2 separate regions of the Mus musculus genome follow, and region 2 is reported to be linked to region 1. Evidence: microRNA targets listed by miRTarBase, many of them from high-throughput screens and not tested one by one. Region 1 holds a microRNA gene; the other region holds the end of a gene's coding sequence.
What was found. Region 1 holds the annotated microRNA mmu-miR-743b-3p (GAAAGACAUCAUGCUGAAUAGA, at 3,001-3,022, shown strand). A microRNA usually pairs through its seed, bases 2 to 8, with sites in the 3' UTR of a target mRNA and lowers its output. Matches are read on the target gene's strand: a 7mer-m8 pairs with bases 2 to 8, a 7mer-A1 pairs with bases 2 to 7 and ends in A, and an 8mer does both.

Region 2: the mRNA of Dcun1d1 is a reported target of mmu-miR-743b-3p. Seed matches in the 3' UTR shown: 8mer at 3,708-3,715.

What each region holds. Positions count from the first base shown.
Region 1 is chrX:66,776,220-66,780,287 of GRCm38, reverse strand. It overlaps Mir743b (microRNA 743b), which reads left to right and starts at 2,956; the gene lies at 2,956-3,032. It overlaps Mir743 (microRNA 743), which reads left to right and starts at 3,470; the gene lies at 3,470-3,531. It also overlaps the pseudogene Gm14681.
Region 2 is chr3:35,892,012-35,896,078 of GRCm38, reverse strand. Dcun1d1 (DCN1, defective in cullin neddylation 1, domain containing 1 (S. cerevisiae)) reads left to right here. Exons shown (of 7, transcript NM_001205361.1): 7 at 380-3,974. The coding sequence ends at 459. Among named protein-coding and RNA genes, the nearest start is that of Dcun1d1, 39 kb to the left of the region's middle.

The sequences.
Region 1 (4,068 bases):
TTCCTTGTACCTGAAGAAACTATGCTCTCATTTTTTTTTTAAGTTTAAATGTTGTGGAAGTTAGCATTATTCTAGCTTGCACAGAACCCAAATTATACAAATTATAAGAACAGAAAATTGCATGCCAGTCTCAATAGGGATCATGAATATAAATATCAGAAATAAAACCAATCAATGATTTCAGGCCCAACTGAATATCAATTCAAATATCTTGTGACAACTTAGATGATGAGTGCACGAAAGTGGACTGAAAAGCTACAAGTAATTAGAGTCTTCCTTTATAAATATGGCCCTAAGTGAAAAAGAACCAAACAGATTTAAATTCAAGTCACTGAAATTATGATGGTATCAGTGATTTGAATTTAAATAGACCAAGTTCCTATCTTCTGTATTCTGTAACTTTCTCCAGTAATTGAACAGCGATATACAGGTACAATTGTGTTGTATTCTCATCCTATGCTCCCAATATTCTGATTCTTTTAGAAGATTTTCATTACCTAGTTTTTAAAAGTCATTTGCAAAGTATATCACTGATTAATCTTAAAGTCACACTGGCTATCTGGCTATAGGTCAAGAGGTCTTCCTTTATCATGCAAGGTGACAAAGTATATTTTGTATTCCCAAACAGTTGAAAATAAATAAATCAATGTTAATATGTCATGCTGTAATTGGTGAAGTGATGAAAACTGCTTGGGATGATTAGCCTACATGGATGATACCTCCATATCTTCATGCTTTATGTTATATCTCACTCAAGAAGCTGTTAGACAGTTGGACTACCGACAAATCTTCCAGGTAAAGTACTGCTCTTTAATTCAGTTATTTTTGATAGGTTCTAGGTAGTATTAGTGCTTTCCATGTAAGATCACTGATAATGGTTTTCAGGATGATCACAAAGCCTTACTATACAATTGTGTGTATCTTTTTAATCACTTTCATGGGACAGCATTCAAGCATCTATGTTAGGTAAGGAAAAGGAGAACAAGGTGCTAAAATTAAGAATTATGCTTTCATAAAAAGAAAATGAGGTACACTGTGTTAATGAAAGACTAAACACAGAAACGGTTTGAGTCTTTGTTGCCCCATATCCTTACTTTTTCAACATAGTGTAGACTATCCATGTTTCACCTCATGGGTACTTTCAAAATAGAGAATGTAAAGAAAGAAGATAATCTAAAGAAAAAAAAAATAATTTCCTTCCCAGTAATTAAATAAAGTTAAAGGACTTTTATCTCTCTGATCCAGAAGTGGTAGAGATAGAAAGTGAAGGAGAGTATATATATTCCCTAAGAACTTGAGTTAAGGACTCCTGAAACTTCTTGGTAATGCAAGAGTCAGATGAGATGATATGTCTCCATTCATTTTGGTGTGTGCATTGTGATATAGGACAGATACCAGTCACTTTCTACTAACCTCTCTCAATATAAGGATACAGAAAAAAGTAAAACTTGATGAAGATGATGAGGACGATGATGAGGATGATGAGGATGATGATGATGATGATTTTGATGAAGAGGAAACTGAAGAAAAGGTCCCAGTGAAGAAATCTGTACGAGATACCCCAGCCAAAAATGCACAAAAATCAAACCAAAATGGAAAAGACTTAAAACCGTCAACACCGAGATCAAAGGGTCAAGAGTCCTTCAAAAAACAGGAAAAGACTCCTAAAACACCAAAAGGACCTAGTTCTGTAGAAGACATTAAGGCAAAAATGCAAGCAAGTATAGAAAAAGGCGGTTCTCTTCCCAAAGTGGAAGCCAAGTTCATTAATTATGTGAAGAATTGTTTCCGGATGACTGACCAGGAGGCTATTCAAGATCTCTGGCAGTGGAGGAAGTCTCTTTAAGAAAAGGGTTTAAACAGTTTAAACAGTTTGGGGTATCTCTCTCAATATAAGGATACTCATAAAGTACTGTCATTGTAAATGTAAGAACATAGATGCACATGCAAGAGTATTTTCTGATTCTAAGATCGATTGTAGCTACCTTCACAGGACATTGTTTAGGTGAAGATATAGGGGGAACCTTTCATCTAATTCCTATTTCTCATAGGTGAAAATATTTAAAATTAGGGACATAGCACTATGGAAAATAAGTTTAGTTTCATTTTAATTTTTAAGTGCTTTTTAAATTAAAATATTTTATAATTCTCCCCTTTCGTTTCTTCCCTTCAGCCACTCTAATCAACTAACCCCTTTGTTCTCTCTCTCATTCATGCCCTGCTTAGTCCATATTTTGAAAGTTTTATGTATGTTATTTCAGTGCTGACCATGGAAAAGCAGTTGGTGGGCTCTTCTCTGCTGAGTACTATTTCTCCTGAAAGCTTTTTAGTGTCAATCCCTATACACATTAATGTCAGTGAGACTTAAGTGCGTGTACACATGGTCTCTCAGAGTGAGTAATGTTCAACAAGCTCCTTACTTTGTATACCCTGGACCTTATACTTCGTCTTCAAAGGCATCCTTGAGATTGCTACCATTTTCATCATTTCTCATTTAAAGCCCCACTTTTTTAGACTTAAAAGGTGCTTAAGGTTGTACACATGCCTCAAAATGGTCAGAGAGTGCAATTATAAAAGTAATATGTTTATTATTAATGGATATTTAATATCAGCAAAATGAGATAAAAAATTGGGATCACAACATTCAGAAGGAGAAATGAAAGGTGAAGGATTTTGTCATTTCCTGGACCTGTGAATAAAGAAATCTAGTGTTCACCTATCACACTAGACTACAAGAATTGATGAAGGCTCATGAAAACTAGTATATACTGTATTTATCTTCACAGCATACATCCTCAAGGTGAATTTAGACAGGATCCTCAAATATGATGGTTATTACTACATGGTAGAGAAAAAAAGATGAAGCATCAGTCATACTGATGCAAAGCATGCAACTAGTACTTAACTTTTTGTCCAGGACACTGAAATAGGAGTGGGAGAGGGCAGTATGTTGTGTGCAGTGCTGTGTTCAGACTGGTGTCCATCATGTGAAATATTTGTGAAAGACATCATGCTGAATAGAGTAAGGCCCATGATATTCTTCATTTATTATGCCTTAATTGGTCAGAGTGGTGCAGTGCAGTTACACTTGACATGAATCCCTCATTGTAATTAGTCATATGTAACCCTCAGGATCCATATTTATCCAGAGTATAATTTTAGATGTTCAATTTTTACACAATTATAACATGTAGGTTAAAGAAAAAAATACTTAGAAGAAACTAAACCCACAATCAACAAATGATACATCTTTTATCTATGTAGATTTGAGAATCAACACTGTAAATAGAGACCAGGACATAGTATACAGTGAAGAACTAGAAACTCATAGCCTACTGTAGGAATGTTTTCTAATATATACATATAAACAGAAGTGAGTTTTCATGTTGAGTGGGGCAGAATGATTTGTGTGACATGTAGATGAAGGATCTGGGGCAGAGCATTCTCATTAAAGTTCTTGTATGCAGTGCTGTATTCAGATTGGTGCCTGTCATGTTTATAAGAATGAAAGACACCAAGCTGAGTAGAGTAGGGCTTATTGTGTTCTTCATTGCAGGTGGTATTATGTGGTCAGGGTGTTTTATCTGTAGTTACACAAAATGTAACCAGTCCTAATCTGTTACCTAAGTACAATTTTGATTCCCAGTGTTAACTTTATAGCCGCATATAGATTGGAGAATTAACACAAAGTTTGGCAGTCAACCATATAGTAGGACATAGTATGTTATGTACAAGGAATATTCCCTAAGATAGGAATAAATATGATATATGTTAAGGTTTTATACTCATTAAGGCAGATTGATAAATAGGATACTATTAGGACATGATTGAGGCCCGCCCTACATGCTAAAATTCTATACAGAGCCATATTTGCTTAAACTGTTAACCAGTTCTTCTGTGTGAGTAGAATAAGTCTAACAAGCTGTCTCATTACTTTTAGCATAGTGATTTTTGTATAAGTACAAATATCCTAGCATTTCTGATTATGGTGTTCTTTGACTTTTCTGGGCCCTAGGACACCTTCAGGGTTTTTAATGGTGTTGTTGTCACCTTCATGCTTTTTGTTGT
Region 2 (4,067 bases), not on the chromosome of region 1:
TTATACTCTTTACTAAACAGAGGTGCTCATGAGGAAGGGACTAGACAGCTTGTCACAGCATCACTAACTAGACTGCCTGACTTTAATAAAACTCTCTGAAAACCATACTACTACTGTATTATTGATTTATTGCTCAGAAGAGATATTTCCAGTGGTTAAGCAATAACCCCATTTTAGAAAAATATATTAAAGACAGGAATAAATTAAGACATAAAAATATTTTTAAAGAGTGGTCACTGGGAGTAGATAAGAGTAACATACTCTAATTCTTACAAGAAAGTTATAAAATAAAAGGATTCTATCAACATAATAGCTTTCATTCTGCTTTTCTCTGTTCCCTTTCCTCTCATATTTTTTTTTTCTTTTTCTTTCTTTCCAGGAGCATGGCCTGTCCTTATTGATGACTTTGTGGAATTTGCACGCCCTCAAATTGCTGGGACAAAAAGTACAACAGTGTAGCACTAAAGGAACCTTCTAGAATGTACATAGTCTGTACAATAAATACAACGGAAAATGCACAGTCAATTTCTGCTGGCTGGACTGAAGATCAATCCTCATAATTCAAACTGAGGGTTGAGACAAAACTTTTAAGGATACATCTTGGACCATATCGTACTCCATTCTTCTACTGGTGGTTTGGGCTTGTCTTCTAGTCTGGGCCACTCTAAGCATTTATAATTCCGACATTGTGGATTTCATCTTACACCTGTGGACCATCTTAGTCTGTCTTCCCATAAGTCATAGAAGCTTGATGGTGATTATTTTGAGGTTTCCATTCTTGCATAAAGCACAATGCTGTCTTCATCAGAAAACAGTTTGGCATAAGAATTAAACATAATAATGAACACCACAACAATTTATAAAAACTTCTTAAGTATATGCTTTGGGCTAGTTGCAAAGACTGTGCTGGCAGCACTTCAAATGAGAGTGATTTATCTGAGTGTACCGCATCTGAAATGGTGTTTGGTTGGGGGAATTTAATTTTCCTGGCAAACTACATGTACTGCTGGTGTGAGTAGAATACCTGATATAAGAAATATCAAAATAACCAACACATGAAAAAAAAAAAGGATAATCTGGGGACTCCCTGAAATATGTCTTGTGTTTCAGACGCTCAGAAAGGTTCTACAGAACAGGTCTGTGGTTATCTTACCCATGTTTATACAGTGTCCTGCAGTGAACTTTTATTTAAAAAAATATTGTAATGAGATCAGATGTTAGACTCCACACTCGTGCATCACACACCACATAATCGGATTTCATTGTGCTCTGAAATACTTCTATGCCTTCTGAATAAGTTAAACTATTTCATTTGTTTTGAATGTTTTGGATTGCTATACAATATAATATTCTAAATTTAGGCATGAGGGTATTAGGTTTGTTTGTTTTTTTTTTTAATTTTTTGTCATCGCACTATGGAACACAATGCAATTCACTTAATTTATAAGAAGATAGTAAGATTTAGATTTTGAAAATGGTTGTGATGAGCCGTGAAGTTCAACCTTTCTCCCATGGCACTGCTCTTTGAGGCGTGGTCCAGCCATGTTGGCTGCTGACTGTTGAGATGGCTTACTGCTAAATCACTGTGGTTGCCAAGTCTACTCCAGAAGCAGAGATTGTCAGACAGGCGAGCACTGGTGCAGATACCAATGGCTTCTGTTCTATAAATTATTTGACTTTTGACTGTTTTTGTCTCACTTGCATTTGCTATTTCCACATCACAGCAGAATGCAGTCTTGATTGGTTTTGTTTTTTGTTTTTCCATGACAGGACTCATGCCTTGCTCTCCTGCTGAAAATGCTTGTTTCTCTGATAACATACTGACATGTGAAAGGGGTGTATTCATACATATTTCCATGAGGAAGTTAAAATGATGAACTAAATGTTGGGTGACTGGTCTTCAATAGGAACAGATTTTGCTTCATGTATCCAGGTCCTCTGCAGGGTACCAAGGAATGTTCTTCAGGATAGCGGAACAATTTATGCAGATATGGAAATGATTAAAACTGCTTTTTAGTCACATGATTTGGAAAATGCATTGAAAGCTTACCTTACAGATATATCATTAATCCAATCATAACTTTAATTTAGGAATGCATTTCTACCAAAAGAAGCTTAGAGTAAATTTCTATTCACGTTACAGGGATTGGTCATTAAAAGGAAAAGAATCTTGCTGTTTTCAGTATTTCTTGATTTCATTTTTTGTAAATATAAAGAACTTCAATTATGAAAAAAATTAAAGATATATGTATATATATCTTTAAAAGTTTTACAGACCTATATTGTTTATTCCCTACATGGAACATTTTGAGTTTTGGTATTGTTTTCAGATTGATTGATTCAGATATGATTTGTTTTCAAATGAGACTCCATTAGCTTCTTTCCCTGCCTCATAAATTTTTTTTCATAAAAATCTTGATATTTGTGTGTGGCCTAATGCTTTGGGTTTTACAGATTTTATTTTTAAATGCAAGACTTTTTAACAAAATAGTGTTTGTCATCAGTTTGGTACTAAACATTTACAATTACTGTGTAATTATAAACAAAAATATATAAAGCTTTTATTATGTAGCAAAAAGAGTTAAGGTTGTTCACCATGATGGCATCTTAGAATTAAACAAGACTTGCTAGGGCTCCAAGAGAAAATTGATTTAATGTGTTTATTCTGAGGGTGACTGTCTGGTTCTAGGAAATGTTTTGTAATACAAATGCTTACCCTATTGGGGGCGGGGCGTCGGGGAGTCTTCCAGAGGAAGGGCACACTCACTCACACACAGCCAGCTATTGCCGGCAGAGGATCATGGGGTTCAGTCTTCGTGTGGGTCAGGTCTCCAAGCTGATTCTTTTCTTTCCAGACAGAACCATAGGGAGAGTTTACTTTTTGCCAAATGTCAGAACAGGTACACATTTTTAAATGTAATGCTTTTTAAATAGTAAACTGTATAAAATGAGAAGTACCCACATATAAAAATACTTGAGGTCAAGGTTCTCTTGAGTGACTATCATCTGCATATCTCTGTAAGTTCAAGTGTGTCGTTTCCAATCCCTGTCATATTACCCACAGAGGCAATAAAAGCTTCAGTAAATTTGCCATGACTAAATCTTCTCCCATATTATTTCAGTGTTTTAGTGTTTCACATAACTAGACTAGACTTGAAGACTTTTCATGGCCGAGCGCTGTAATGGCACATCTGGGGGAAGAGAAGCTACGCCACGTGTTTGCTCCGTAATGTTTACAATGTGCTCAGCTGTGTTGTTTATTTAACTGCGTTAGTTGTATACTGCGGCACTGTGAGTGCACCCCTCATCGAACTTTTAAAAAGTTTTAGTGTTGGTAAATTCGCTCACTGAAACCATCGGGAGCCTTTTATGTAATCTCTTTCCTGAATAATTCTTAAACAAGGTTGACATTTTTTCCCCCCTCAAGGATCTGAGTGCAGAGTTCTTTTTTTATTTTTTTCTTTGATGATAAGTTTTTGAGCCATTCCATGCCCACCCTGCTTGTGTGTTTACGTGTGTTGCTGTTAAGGACTGTTTGGAAACCTGTCATTTTGGCATACAAATAGGAGCAAGTTGACCTAAGAGAATAATTTGGGGATGAAAAATGGAAAATGGTGTTGGGAAAAGTTATACTTGTTTACAAAGTATGCCCTTGTAACATGAATGACCGTTCAGTGAGCGTTTATGTGGCTCTGAATGTTAAATTGTGTCTTTAATAGGAAATATTTACCTGACACCTCTGGGCTTTTTGTTGTTGTTGTTACCTTAAACTTTTAATAATATGGTTTATATTGAATGCTGAGATGTTTTGATAAGAGTTTACCAAATTTGATAATGTAATGATAAATGTTTTAAAATGTGAACTATTTATCATATATCTTAATAATTGAACTGTGGCTTTTATATGACAGATGATGAATAGGGTCAAATTATGGCTCACCCTTTAATTGATTATAAACTTGAGTGTATTTCTGAACCCTTTTATTGCTTCCATTTTTATAATCATAGCAGTACTTTTTATTTCATAGGAATCTAGTGAAGTTAATTTCTGGTTTCCATTGACTCCT